2 linked regions of the Schizosaccharomyces pombe genome follow. The protein of the gene in region 1 purifies or fractionates together with the protein of each later gene. This does not show direct contact. Each region holds a gene or a part of one and is shown on either strand. Other genes may lie near its edges.

The links. Proteins that work in one complex are often made in the same cells at the same time.
Region 2: the proteins of alp41 (region 1) and alp1 purify together in Schizosaccharomyces pombe (affinity purification with western blotting, with the first as the bait; one study listed by BioGRID). This does not show direct contact.

Annotation. Positions count from the first base shown.
Region 1 is NC_003424.3:695,474-703,411, reverse strand, and holds alp41 (GTP-binding protein involved in beta-tubulin folding Alp41), read right to left. Parts: upstream 6,127-7,938; 5' UTR 6,122-6,126; coding exon 6,057-6,121; exon of another isoform or gene 6,012-6,056; coding exon 5,957-6,011; exon of another isoform or gene 5,917-5,956; coding exon 5,844-5,916; exon of another isoform or gene 5,792-5,843; coding exon 5,646-5,791; exon of another isoform or gene 5,608-5,645; coding exon 5,527-5,607; intron 5,485-5,526; coding exon 5,344-5,484; coding exon of another isoform or gene 5,235-5,343; 3' UTR 5,190-5,234; coding exon of another isoform or gene 4,971-5,189; 3' UTR 4,933-4,970; coding exon of another isoform or gene 4,571-4,932; 3' UTR 4,529-4,570; coding exon of another isoform or gene 4,308-4,528; 3' UTR 4,265-4,307; coding exon of another isoform or gene 4,049-4,264; 3' UTR 4,003-4,048; coding exon of another isoform or gene 855-4,002; 3' UTR 810-854; coding exon of another isoform or gene 657-809; 3' UTR 372-656; downstream 1-371. Other genes in the region: mug62 (putative AMP binding enzyme), read left to right, coding at 657-809, 855-4,002, 4,049-4,264, 4,308-4,528, 4,571-4,932, 4,971-5,189, 5,235-5,379; lon1 (Lon protease), read right to left, coding at 6,378-7,938.
Region 2 is NC_003423.3:3,352,546-3,359,047, forward strand, and holds alp1 (tubulin-specific chaperone cofactor D Alp1), read right to left. Parts: upstream 4,503-6,502; 5' UTR 4,181-4,502; coding exon 4,034-4,180; intron 3,990-4,033; coding exon 2,901-3,989; intron 2,857-2,900; coding exon 1,870-2,856; exon of another isoform or gene 1,831-1,869; coding exon 1,448-1,830; intron 1,400-1,447; coding exon 1,270-1,399; intron 1,224-1,269; coding exon 1,006-1,223; exon of another isoform or gene 964-1,005; coding exon 600-963; 3' UTR 501-599; downstream 1-500. Other genes in the region: protein Ndc80, read left to right, coding at 1-269; knh1 (KRE9-like protein), read left to right, coding at 5,234-6,088. UniProt on the Schizosaccharomyces pombe protein: Has a function in the folding of beta-tubulin. Microtubule-associated protein that is essential to direct polarized cell growth and to position the nucleus and septum to the center of the cell during mitosis.

The DNA.
Region 1 (7,938 bases):
CCGCAAAATGTTTCTATTCAGGTATTGTTTCTTTTGACTAACAAGAACAGTTTCTGAAAGGTAGAATAAACAGCGATGAATATGGGGGTATTCAACTAAATTTGTCCATTGTTATCAACAAAATTTGCGAATGTTTACTTTTAATTAAACAAAGTTAGCGCATAATGCTTAGCCTGTTGTTATCACTTTTTTCTCAATCGTTATTAGTAAAGACAGGTTTCTTAGTTAATAAATTATATTAATTAGTACTGTTAGTTGTATGTTGCATCTGTAGTCTAGTGGTTATGATTTCTGCTTTACACGCAGACGGTCCCAGGTTCGATCCCTGGTAGATGCATCTTTTTTCGAAAAGCTGATACAATCCAACTTTTTGCGTTCTAATATGTATAAAAAAGATTGGTATTTACTGTTAATTTTGTAAAATTAATTGCGCACATAAATGAATAATGATGGGGAACAGGGATAGAGCATAGTCTTTCTAAATTTTTAAATTGAATTAGGATTTGTAAACTTAGTACACTTTTACTTCATTCAATGTTATTGTTTATCCTTAGTGAAGTCAATCAGGTAACAGGTAACATAAGCGATTTGTTTACATTTCTCATACAAGCTTTGGAATCCTCAATTCCTAACTGTATGCGAACGTGAGCCATAAAATGAGTCTAAAATCATTTTTCAACTTCAATAAGAAGACAAAACTGCATGACATAGAAGAGGATGTTATATCTGAAATTGGTTCTGCTGGTTCAGCCCTTCGAACAGATGCGCATATGCTGAAAGCAAACGATGTCTATTATAAAAGTGAAACGGTAAGAGTAATATAAAAAAAAATTACTAAATGCAAAAATTTCAAGGATAGTCATACTGTGCTGAGATTTATGAAACCTTCAGAAAACGAAAAAATCCATCCCGTAAGGCATTCGAAATATGAAGATAAAAGCAAGTTGCCTTTTGAGACAATACCAGACCCAGTGTTAAAATATGTGAAAAGAGCAAGGGATGCAGAGCTGCAACCACAATTGGCCAAAGTATCTCAGAAGCTGTTTGCAGATATATCAACTGCCACAGCAGCTGAAAAACTACAATTCACAGTTCCACGTAGAGCCAGATTTGAAATTAATGATCCACGAAATCCAACATTTTCAATGATGGCGCTGCAGGATATTATATCTGTCCTTGAGTATCGAAGAAATAAAAATCCAACTTCTACTGCTCATATTTGTATCGATAAAAAAGGGAAAGAAGCTGTGAGTTACAGTTGGGATAAAATCCTGAATAGAGCTAAACAATTTGCGTCTGTTGCGCAAAATCACGTTGGACTTAAACCTGGAACCAGAGTAATTTTATATTATCGAAAATCGGAAGCTTCAGAATATATTATTAGTATCTTTGGCTGTTTGTTGCTTGGAATAGTAGTAATTCCTTTGAGTCCTTCCTCATCTTCAGAAAGTCTCAAGTTGGTTGTCAATGAAGAAAAAGTTCGTGTCGCATTTACTACAGAGGCTACTTATCGTATCTTCATAAAAGATACAGAGGTGAATAATGCAAAAAGCCTTGCATGGTGGAAATCAAACGACTTTACAAACTACAAATTTGAACAAATCAAACAGTATCGGATGCGTGCGAATGACACAGTTCTCATTGATTACACGTTCAGCTCCTCGACCTATAATGATATTAAGGCTGTTTATACCACGAAAACATTTTTAAGTCAGATGAGAAATCTGACATCGTCCATGATAACCAATCCAGCTCGTCAAGCTGGATGGAAGCTCCATAATTTTGAGGATTCGAAAGATGTTCTCATTACCAATTTCCATCCATCTATGCCATTAGGATTGATCATGGGGGTATTCAACTCTGTGTTTGCAGGATATTGTACCATCTTTTGTGATGAAGAAGTACTAAAAACGCCAGGTTTATTAGCATATTTAATTACTAAATATCGATGTACATACAGTTTGTTTGATTATGCTGGACTGAAGCAGACAGTGTACAATTATCAGGAGGATCCTAAATCTACACTTTCATTTAAAAAAAATTATACACCGAACCTTTCGTCCTTGAAGTTGTGTATGGTTGAATGCGAAGTAGTAGACCCGGAATTCAACATTATAGTCTCAGATAGGTGGTTGCAACCTTTAGGTACCAATAATTCCAAAGAGGTAATCACTCCGATATTATGTTTGCGAAAGTTTGGTGGAATACCTATTTCATTCAAAGACTGGATGATCAGTTACACCAACAGACAGAAACATGAACGGCAAATGGCCGATACTTGTTATCAAGAGATCTTGGTATTAAAGAGTTCAATAGAAAAGGAAAAAGTGGAAATTGTTCCATTTCTAGATATCCGAAAATATTCTCCTAACGAAGTCCTTTGCATGTCTCCCTTTTGGTATCCAATCCCTGAGGCATCAGTGGCAGTTGTTAATGAAGATTCGAAGAATATATGCAAAGTTGGTGAAGTTGGAGAAATTTGGGTTTATTCTGATTGTCTTCCTAAGTTGAAAGCTGCTAGCGTGATTAACAACCCACAAGGGGAACAATTAACTGATTACGAAAACAACCAAGAAAATAAATTTGAAAAGAATAACTCATTCATGGATAGTGGTCTAAAAGGATTTTTGCATAACGAAAAGATTTTTGTTCTTGGAAACAAAGATGAACAAATCAGGCAATATCGGAAAACAATGGTCGCTGATAAGTTAATGGAAGAAAAATATGTACACTATTCTCATTACTTGATTAAAAAAATCATGAAATATGTTCCCGAAATTTTTGATGGTGTCGCCTTTGAAATAGAAATCGACAAAGCAGTTTACTCCGTTTTAGTACTTGAAAGTCCAATTATTAAGCGTTCGTTAATTCGAAATAATCGGCTTAAAGGAAGAGATTTGTTCTCAGAGTTGGTAAAAATAACAGAGAGCAGCTTCCAAGTCACTCAAGACATATTCAAATTAGATGTCCTAAGCATACTTATTGCTCCTTACAAATCATTACCTCGATCCAGGTATATGGGAATCCAAGCAATCAACACGAATAAGTGTAAACTGGCCTTTTTGTCAGGAAATCTTCCTGTATCCTATGTTAGGTTTTTCATGGATTCAGCATTACCAAAATCTAAAATTAATTTAAACAATTCAAAAGGAATTTGGTCAAAAGATGCCTCCAAACATCATAGAGAGATTATCTCTTTAAATGTTAAACAAAAGATGGATCCGTACAAGCATCAAAACAAAGTTAGTAAAGCACGAGAAAATCTGCTTAATCACTTTACTATCCTTGACTTTTTAAAAACCAAATCTGCAAAGACACCAACTTCACCTGCCATATTAACCTTTAATGCTATCGAAAAAACAAAAGTAGAGTTGACTTGGGCCCATTTTGAGCTGAAAGTTGCATCTCATGTTGAATATATGCAGTTATCAGTTAAAGCTAAAGCAAGATCACATATTTTACTTCTTTATTACGACCCATTAGAGTTTTTGATCAGCATACATAGCTGCTTTCACCTAGGGGTGATACCAATACCGTTTCAAATTCGTGAAATATCACAATTGATTGGGGAAATAGAAGAATTCACAAAAATTGCAAAGGCCTTCAATGTGGAAGCAATCCTTGTTGATCATAAAGTTCTTATATCTTTAAAATCCAGGGATATTTCAAATCACTTTCAACAAACTTGCATTGACCTCAACATGAAGGCACCCAAAATATTTGAAACTACTGGAATCCCCATTTCAAAACGTGCAAAAAAAGCATTGAATCTAATAACCCCGGGGGAATTGAATAATAAAGGGAAAGTCGCGCTAATTAGTATTAATAAGCTGGAAGATGGTTCCATCATCCCAACGCAATTTTCTCATTCTAGTCTTCTGGCATTTTGCCATGAACAAAAAGAATTTGTAATTGGAAATGAAGAAAAACCAATCATTGGTGGGATTGAATTCTCAAGTGGAATGGGCCTATTGCATACTGCCTTGCTTGGAGTATATGCAGGTAAATATTTTCAAAATGTGAAAAAAATAATTAACGCATATTATAGGAGTACCAACTTTATTGATAAAACAAGAAAACTTATGTAACAATGGTAGCCTGCTTTTTGAGGCTATCGAGCAAAACTCTTTATCAAAGGTTATGATTCCACTTAACATTTGTCAGAAAAGCTTTTCAACAGCTCAAGGTTGTAATAGCATTGTTATTAACTCCACTTTGTCAAGCATTATTGTGCCTTGCTACGACAGACCAATAAGTTCTAGAGGTAAGTAGGAAAACAGAAAGACGCATTTACTAACAAGACCTAGTTAATAGTATAATTGAAGATATCGCCAGAATTGGACTAGCTCCCAACAAGGTAAAATTGGCATACTCTCATCCGATCAATCCTTTCGTTTGTTGGAATGCGGATTCGAGCATGGAAAAAATGAAGGATTACTTTGATGCCAATCAGCTAAGAAGCGGTCTCGTAAACGTAAGAGAGGATGTCCTAAGAAACAGACAACCACTCCTTTATGGGTCCGGAACTGTACGTGAAAAGTATTAGGCAGCAATTTACTAATTAATATAGAGCACATTATACAATGAAATATGCATAGTTCACCCTGAAGAAAAATACATATGTCAAGAAGGAGAAATTGGAGAAATTTGGATTAACGGAAAGCACGGCTCATATTGTGAAAACAACGAACTCAACTCTGGATGCGAGCTTCTAGTGCAAGAGACATTAGATAAAAAGAGCTATTCGAGAACAGGGCAGTTAGGTTTCATTCATCATTTGAAGAAAAAAGACCAGAATATGGAAAAAGTTCCAGTTTTATATACTTTAGATTTCATATGGAATACGCTCGAATTAAACGGGCTTAACCATTCCGTAAAGGATATTGAAGAAACAATCGAATTAGTGCATCCCAACATTTGCACAGATGGGTGGTAAGTAGCATCACAAACTATAGAGGCTAATGTCACAGCATATTATTTCAAGCGTCAGGATCCGTAGTAATTCTTCTGGAAGTACATAGTCAGCAAAAATTCGCTAGCCTAATACCAATTATTGTTGCTACGGCTTTGGCAGCACATGAAATCATACTTGATTGTGTTGCCTTCGTACCGAAAGGAACATTTTTGCGTCGTCCAACTGGTGAGAAAAGGAGAGCAGACATCCTAAAACAATGGACTGGAGGAGACCTGTAAGTGATCTTTATTAATGAGAAGCCTAAATAACAATATTTTAGGAAACACATGACAAGCTATTTAATTCGACAGGACTTTCTTCTCAACGAAGATTTTGTAGGTACTGAGTTGATTGGAACAACCGATTCTTACGATTACTCGGATGAAAACTTAATAATCAATAGTTCCCAACTTAATCTCCTTTAGATCATTAGCAAGCCAGCTTATCGCGTCTTTGATATTAAGGCCCGTTAATGCTGAAACCGAAAAAATCCGCCAATGCGATGATTTATATTTAGAAATATTTAATATCTTGACTTGTTGTTAGCTTGGATTCATAAATTGTAAACTGACTTTGCTAATTTCTTCGGATGAAAGTGCGCCGGAAACGTCAGACTTATTAGCGAGAACCAAAATTGAAGTAAACAAAAGTTTCTATATGCATGTTAAGATAATTCACATTTTCAGCCTACCTCTTCTACCAACAATTCTTGTAATGTATTTCTGCATTCTTCTAAACGTAAATCATCCAAGCTGTCAACAACCCAAATAATTGCTTCGGTTGATTCAAAGTAATTTTTCCAAAAATTTCTTAGCGTTTTCTGCCCCCCAATGTCCCCTTGAATTAGTAAGCTTAAGACTGTTCATTTCGAAAATTGCAAGCTACGTACATATCGTGAATCGGAGTCCTTCTACTTCAAGCGTTCGAATTTGAAAGCCAAAGGTAGGCGAAACTTCATTTACCTATCAATCGATAAATTATGGAGCCTTAAAAGATACTTACATCCTCGTTCAACAGGCACTTCAAAATTGTCGTTTTACCTGCATTATCCAACCCCCTAAAGTCATTAGATTTCACTCTGTATATATTTGAATCATCTTACAGTAACAAAACCCTGACTTCTCGTTCCTTTAGCTTTTGCTGTCTCAAAATAGTCAATAATCCCATTTCTCAATAGTAGAGTAACCAAGAAATAAGAAAATATGCGATGAATTTGCCTTGCATTGCGTTACTCAACAAGGGCTTAAGCTATCAACTTTATAGAAAGATATTACTGTTTTACGAACGATTGAACAGAATAAATTCAAACTACATGTTGTCTTTTAAATATAGCACAATACATAAATCGTTATTAACTATATCTATTACATAATGAATTTAGATAATTTCTTCATAAAGGTAGTATCCTTCTAATAGGAGAATGTTAATGACTGGGTGAAATTTGATGCTGCTTGGAGGATGACTTTATTAAATTTGGCCAAAGATTGTTGCATTTTTCGGCATCAATGTTTGAAAAAACCCGTTTAAAAACATCATCATACCATGCAACAGGGACACCAGTTAAACCTTCTTTAACATAATCAGGAAGTTGTTCCCAATCGGCTAAGTTACTTTTTGGAAATAGTATTTCTTTCATACCAGATAATTTGGCAGCAACCGTCTTTTCTCGTAAGCCACCAATGCGTAAAATTTTACCGGTCAAGGTTAGCTCACCAGTCATGGCAGTAGTCGCTGGTACCGGAGTATCCAATGCTAAAGAAAGTAAAGATGTAGCCATTGTGATACCTGCTGATGGGCCATCCTTAGAAATGGAGCCTTCGGGACAATGCATATGCAAACGCGCATGTTCAAAAAATTTATTATTTGGAAAATGCTTAGACAAAAAGCTTTTTGAAAAGGAATACGAAATTTCAGATGACTCTTTCATCACATCTCCCAGTTGCCCCGTCCTTTCCAAAGAGGGAGTAGAATTGGATGATAAAATGTTTTTAACAATAGTTTCTACATACATCGAAACACCTCCCATGGGTGTCCAACCAAGTCCCATGACAACACCAGGAGGAGTAGTGTCATAAAGTCGCTGAGAAGTATAAATGGGGGGACCCAAATATTTAGTCAAGTCCTTTTCTTCAATCTCGATATTAACTTTATCGGGAACTTTTAACGGAACAGATGATGCTTCTTTGTTTGCTGCATCTTCTGATGATTGAGGAGATGTTTTCTTTCCCGACTTACCCGTAGACTTCTCTTTAGAATTTAATTCATCGTCAATTTCTTTAACAATACTAAAAGATGTTTTACGAAATATTTTCTCAATAGATTTTTTCAAATTTCGTACACCGCTTTCATGAGCATAGTAACTAATTAAACCCTTAATAGCGTCATCACTGATATTCACATTAGCATCCTTTAAACCACAAGCAGCTTTGGCTTGGGGTATAAGATAACCTTTAGCAATGTTAACTTTTTCAGCTGAAACATATCCAGATAGTTCAATAACCTCCATACGATCCAACAAAGGTGGAGGAATAGTATCAATGGTGTTCGCCGTGCAGACAAATAAAACAGATGAAACATCGAGTGGAATATCCATATAGTAATCTAGGAAAGCTGAGTTCTGTTCTGAATCTAAAAGCTCTAAAAGTGCACTCGCAGGATCCCCTTGATGACTTTTGCCCACTTTGTCTATTTCATCAATAAGAATCAAAGGGTTCTCAGTTTGCACCTTTTTCAAAGCTTGCACAATTTTTCCAGGCATTGCTCCGATATAGGTACGACGATGTCCTTTGATTTCAGCGACATCAGTCAGACCGCCCACACTGAAGCGAAAGAATTCCCTGTTTAAGGCAGATGCAATAGATTTTCCAACAGAAGTCTTACCGACACCTGGCGGACCAACTAAACACATAATCTTTCCTTGCATAGTTCCTCTTAGCTTACCTACAGCTACTAACTCAAGAACACGATCCTTAACATCTTTAAGC
Region 2 (6,502 bases), on another chromosome or scaffold:
AATCGGATAAGTTAGAAAGAGAATTACAACAGCTCAAACTTTCTTCGCATAACAGCATGCTTCAATTAGACCAGCGTATACAAAGTATAAATATCGAAGCGGATCAAATTGCACATGCTTGCATGGAGTACAAAAACAATATATATAAAGAGGTTGCATTTGTGCTTGGTGAAATAATACATTTCAAGCTACACGTTCAAGACAGTTTGGAGGATTTGAAGATGGACTACCAAAAGGAATTGGATGACCTATCTCGTTCGGAACTGTAAATTCTATTCATCGTATTGTGCTGTCTACTATATTCACGGCTCATGAATACATTTTTTTATCACGATGGTGTTTTTGTGTTTTATGCTTTAATCTCTTACTTTTTAATTACAATTCTAATGAAGGTAATAATAATTCAACTCTCAATTTTCAAATGTAATTTTTATTGGTTGTGTTCCTTTTATGGACATCAATTTAGTACTACATAAGCACGAACTGTTTTGGCTAAAAATTTGAGATTATTCACCAGATATTTTATTGATTGCAGATTTTAACGTTTTTATACATCATATACACGACTATTTAAAAAGCTGAAAGTAGTTCAAAATTTATTATCGATCAGCTATCAGTTTATCTATTTGTTTCTGTATTATATTCCTTAGCTGTTTAACAAAAGTTGCGTTTTGAGATACTGGTACGAACCAATCCAAAGTCAGTAGTTTTTGGTTTAATTCATTAGGGAGGAAAGTTAGCAAACCAATTGACTTCGCATAGAGCAAAGTGTCGGCTGCTTGGTAGCGTACTTTTTCAATCGGGTTTAATAGTAGGTTTGCCGTATATTTTAAAGCATGATGCCTCAAAAGTTCATTTTTGGAAAGAAAAAGCGTCCGATATAACTCTAGTATCGCAGAAAGTCCCCCTGGTGATTTACAAGTAAGAGCCCTTCTCTGTACAATAAAAATCGCTTTTGACATGCTGATATCATTAGTATTTTGAACAAAATGTAAAAAAACATACCCCTTAACGTTTTGAAAGTCCGTGAAACAACCATATGCTAACAAAGATGTGAAAGATTTCATGATTGGAAAATAGAAACGAGCTATTTCATCCTCCGAAGAAAGTATGTCTATATAGAGTTGTAGAAGATCCCGTTTACCATAACGAGAGTTAGATTTTTTAAACGAATCTTCTAACTGGTAAACATAACTTAGATAAAATTCAAAACATTTAACTGCCTAGTAGAGTTAGTATATTAAGACATCGAAGCATATGATAACTTACTAAGTCACTGCCAAAACCATCGGCAGTAAATACTGTAATTCCGTAAAAAGCTTGAAGCCTTAAATTAGGTATTTCTAGCAGAGATATATTCAGTTCATTTAGTACCTCTCCATCCATATTTGGATTATTCCTGAAACTAGTGGTTAATAGCAGAATTTTAATTGAAAACTCATTTTACCTAATACGATTAATAATATTAGTCAAAGCTTCGCATCTTCTGATTAGGTAATGTACTCTGATTTGTTCGAGTGCTTGATATGCCAAACCCCTCAAACTATCAATTTTATCAAATGTTTGCCTTATAATATAGGAAATACAACACCAAACTATATCTTCACTTAATTTTTTTCCAGATGAATCTTTGACTAATAGACTGGAAATGGCCTTCATTGCAGGTTTGCGAATCCATGAGCCAACATCTCCTCGGGTATCTGTCAAATAATTGGAGCAAACCTGAAGTAATTCTTTGACAAATTCTTCAATGCTTTCTGTTTTTTCATAAGTAAAGGGAATAATATTTTGAAGCGCATTCGCAACAGGTGCTTGATAGTCTATTGAGTGCTGTTCATGTTAACATTGGTGAAAAAATTCTTTACTTACGAGTTGGGGATAAATATCCAATAAAAGCTTGCATATCTTTTTCTGGTATCGAAAACTTATATTCGGTAAATTCTGTAGAATAATGTATACAATTCTCGCTTCTTTACTTGTTGAGCATTTTCGTATATAGTCAAGAAGAACCTCCAATGTTTCTTCCATATCATCAAATTTAACAAGTACACTGTAAGCGTCACTGATGTCTTTTATGATTGTTTCCTCCTGTAAATCAATAGCAGCGATTATAACAGAAAATGCTTCACTGAAAAATGCTCTGTCAACACGAATATCATTGGCAAAAATTTGTTGAATTCCTTTTAAAATTCCCAAAATAATTTTTGTTTGCTGTTGCCTTGAAAATTTTTTTAAGGACAGTAGGTTTTTGTGCGACAGTAAATCATGGATACGATTTATATCGAACGGGAAGCTTATGGATAAAAATCCACCTATAATACTTGCCAATCCAATCGTATAGCCAAAAATAAAATCTGCATTACCAACAGACAAATAATCAAGTATGGGAGGAAGATAGATGCTTAGCTCTTTGGGATATTTAATAGAAAGTTGTCTTAGGGAAAAAGCAGAAAGCTGCTGTACCTTCACGTCCCAGTGCTGAAGGTTTGTAAATAGTCTTTGGAAAACACAGGAACGAAACTGAGGAAAATGAGCTACTTTCATACACAAGTCACCATAACAATTTGAAATATCCGTTACAGAAACATAGTTAATATGTGATATCAAAGAAAGCCCATCGGGAATAGAAGCGTGTCTGCCAATCACCTCAAATAAAGCAGCAGTTGCAGCTCTGCGCACATTTATTTCATTGTCAAACAATACCGTTTGTAAGAGACATAAAATAAGATTCGTTTGTAAGCCTTCAATTGCTGACTTAGAGTAGCAATGATAAAATGACCAAACAAAATAACAGGAGGCATCTCTGATGCTTTGTCCTGTTACTCTAGTTCCATATCTTACTTCGTATGATAAGCCCTAAATAAGGATTAGAATGATATAAGAAAACAAAGTGTACTTACTACTTCGATCAATGGAAGAATATGTAAACATTTACTATACTTAATTAAACCTGCACCTGCTAGTTTTGCGAAGAAAAGTATAGCTCCGTGCCAAACCAGTGGAGAAGTAATTGATATGTTTACAGTGTTTTCTATGGGGTTTAAAAACATATTTTCTGTCATCAATTCAATAATGGCATCGATAACTTGCTCAGCCAAATTCCAGGGCAAACGACTTATGATCTTGGCTAGCCCTTTGGCTGCAGACCAGCGTACAAAACTGTCTATGTCGCTTACAGATGACAATAAAAAATCAACAATAACCTCCAGATATATATGTACTTCTTCGTTAGAGTCATCAGGTAATTGAAAGAAACTATCTGGGTTACTGATCGAGTATTTCCAATTAGGGGATGAATTTACAGGCAGCAATACAATTCCCAATCTTGTATAACATTTGCATAATAATTTCCTCAACGCTGAATTTTCTTGTCCAACTAAATCTTCTCGTGCTACATTCAGAAACTGAAACGCAACATCAACTGTTTGAAGACAATCATTTCTCGGACAAATTTTAAGAAAAGAAGATAAGGAAAAAAGACACCCAATTTTGTAAAAGATACTTCTCTTAAACCAACTACTCTCACAGTGGTGTAGAAAGCCTAGAAGTAAATCCAAACCGTCATCACGAGAGAATAATCGGGACAAAACAAGACAAGAAGCTTCTTTGTCTATTCCCGAATTTTCTAAGTATTTAATTGCTATAGTGTAAATGGTCTTCTTCACATCCAAGGAATCATCTAATGAATTTAACGGGAATGGGGTATTGAGTGCTTGAGAAAGCCACAGTAAAACTATGTAGTGAAAATGCCAGGTATTATTTGATGATTCATTTAATAATGTATATAATTCCTTAATATATTGAACGCCAACAGGAAAGAGGACGCGAACAGCTTTATATCCTCTTATTTTACAAAACTGGTAAAGGATAACGGTAATTGAGTTACATTTTCCGATATTTTTCACTTTCAGTAAATAGCTAGCCAAGTTTGGAACGTATTTACTCAGTAGTTTATCGAGCAATGTCGGCTGAAATTGACAAAATTGCAACTAGAATTTTAATTAGAAAGGTCACAATATCTTTTTAAACATACATATTTAACAGCGACGTCTTTAAGTTTTTCCACAGAATGTGAAGAACTTCTATCGTCTAAAACATCATCGAGAATTTGCGATAAACGTGAGGTTATCAAAGACTCATCTATAGAAATAATTCCTTCTAAAGATTCTTCTTCTTCCATTTTTGTTTAAAATTTATGCTATGATTATTTTTGACTGTAACGACTTTAAGCAATTAACGCGTGTTGAATAAATTATGAAAAACGAATAAAGCGAAAAAATATGTTAATCTCCTTTCTTTTAGAATTTCTTTCGTCCTAAAAAAAAAACTTGGTCCCTAATTTTCTGTATTGCCTTGGACAATTTCCTCCTTTGTCACTCATGAGGTTGCAAATGATACCAATAAGAAAATAAAACAAGTTTGAATAATTTTAGACCTGTAAGATTTATTAACGATTAAATTTCACAAGCTTTGATATTGAAAAACATTATGAAAAGTGGGATAATAAAAAGGTAAATTATTGTGGTGGTGTAATCTGTACCCACTACTGATATTTCAAATCTCAAATCTAAACGTGAGCAGTTATTAAGAATGCTTTTGGAGCAACCACTGTGATATTTGTAAATGATATATTATTTCTGCGAATGAATTAGGAATACAGCCAGACAGTAAGCATATCTGGTAGTAAAGGGCCTATATATTGACAGCTCTAACGCAATTATTTCATAGAGTAGACATAATATTCACGACATAGATTCAGTAAGTTCGCATGTTATTCATTCTTTTGGTACAAGACTAGCATTTGATATTACAAATGTATAGCAGTATCGTTTAAATAGATCTTTACTTAAAGATTCTCAAACGTTACAATAATTTTCCCAAGATGTTGGCCTTTAAACTAGTCGGCATAAATTTACAGAGCAATTGTAAGTACTTGCTAAACTGAAGAGAATTTGAATTAGAGGTTTCAGGTTAAAACATATTCAGTGTTAACTATATCCAGCTTGTTCGTGATATATATTTTTGAGTTAAGCCGAAATTTATTGCATGAAATAAAAAATAAAAAAAAATAAAAAAATCACTTTTATTAGCTTACAATAAACCAACTTTTCTCGATTATTTGTTTACACATGTCAAATAAGGTGTTTCGATATACATCCCTGTTGTCAGAGCAACGATTTATATATATCGCTTACCACTAAATTTGCAAAGTCTCTTCAAGCCGTCGAATTTAATGAAAACCACCATGTTGATGCTAGTATTGCTAGTCTGCTCATACATACATTATGTATGTGCGCAAATTCGATTCGTCACTCCGGCGACAACAGATAGTATGGATTTTACCGCTATTTCGTTTTCATGGGAAGAATCTAATACGGGAATACCTCTTGAGGACATAACCAACACAGTTTTTTATATATGTAGTGGTAGCATGGATGCTCCTCAACCTTGTGCAGTCTTGTATACGTCCCCTAGTCCTTCTTCTATATCCCAAGCTGGACCCTTCGCTATTTCTCAGGTTTTTGGACCAGCTGGACGTCTTTACTTTCTTTGGGCACAATCTACATATGCTGGTGGTATAGTTAATGACTATACTGACTTTTTCACTGTTAATGGTCTAACAGGAACTTTTGATAATTACGAAATTTATGCGTCTTTGATGGCTCTTGGTGTGTATCCTTATGTTCCTACCCTTACTGGTTTTAGCACTTTTCTTGGTGTATGGCCTACAGGTACAATGCGAGATTGGTATCTATCTCAAACTACCGGTGTTCTCCGTACAGGACCTATTCAAAATCGACCAGATTCTACTTTTACTGCTGCTACGACCGACATACAACCGCTATGGGAAACTTCCTCTTATTCCGTATTTACCACGTTTGCAGGTCCTCCCATTGCCACCTCGACTGTCTTTGCATCTCCAACGTACATGTATACGTTGTATGCTAATTATGCTAGTACGGCCTCTAAGCCTACTATAATCGCAACTCCAACTGCTGGTTTAAGGAGACGAGACAGCTGGGCTCAAGCTGCTCCGAAACGTGGGATGCGTTTAGGTGAACACAAACGTGGGTTGTTATATTCCTAAATTGTTAATTTTTTTTAAGGCCAAAGCCTTTCATGTCATTTAGATTTTTCATTAGCACACTAGGATATTACTGTGTGCATTTTTGTCTGCTTCCTTTAGCTCAAATACATTGAGTCGTTCGTCAAAGAAAACAAAATATTTTGGTTATTTGTTATCTAAAGTCATGTTTTTTTTCATATTTACCATTATGCTGTTTCTGTGGAGTTAATTTCACGTAAAAGCATCTTCAAGTGCATGAGTTATTTCTTCATTCGTTCAATTTTTACTTTCCTTTCTCCCTTTTCATTCGTTCTTTTACATATTTAGGCAAAAAGAACTCTCGGTTAAACCCTTTTCTTTAGTTATCATTTTCTACATTTAATAAATAATTATGGTTTTATTTAGAATTTATTTTGTAAATTATACTTGTTTGAA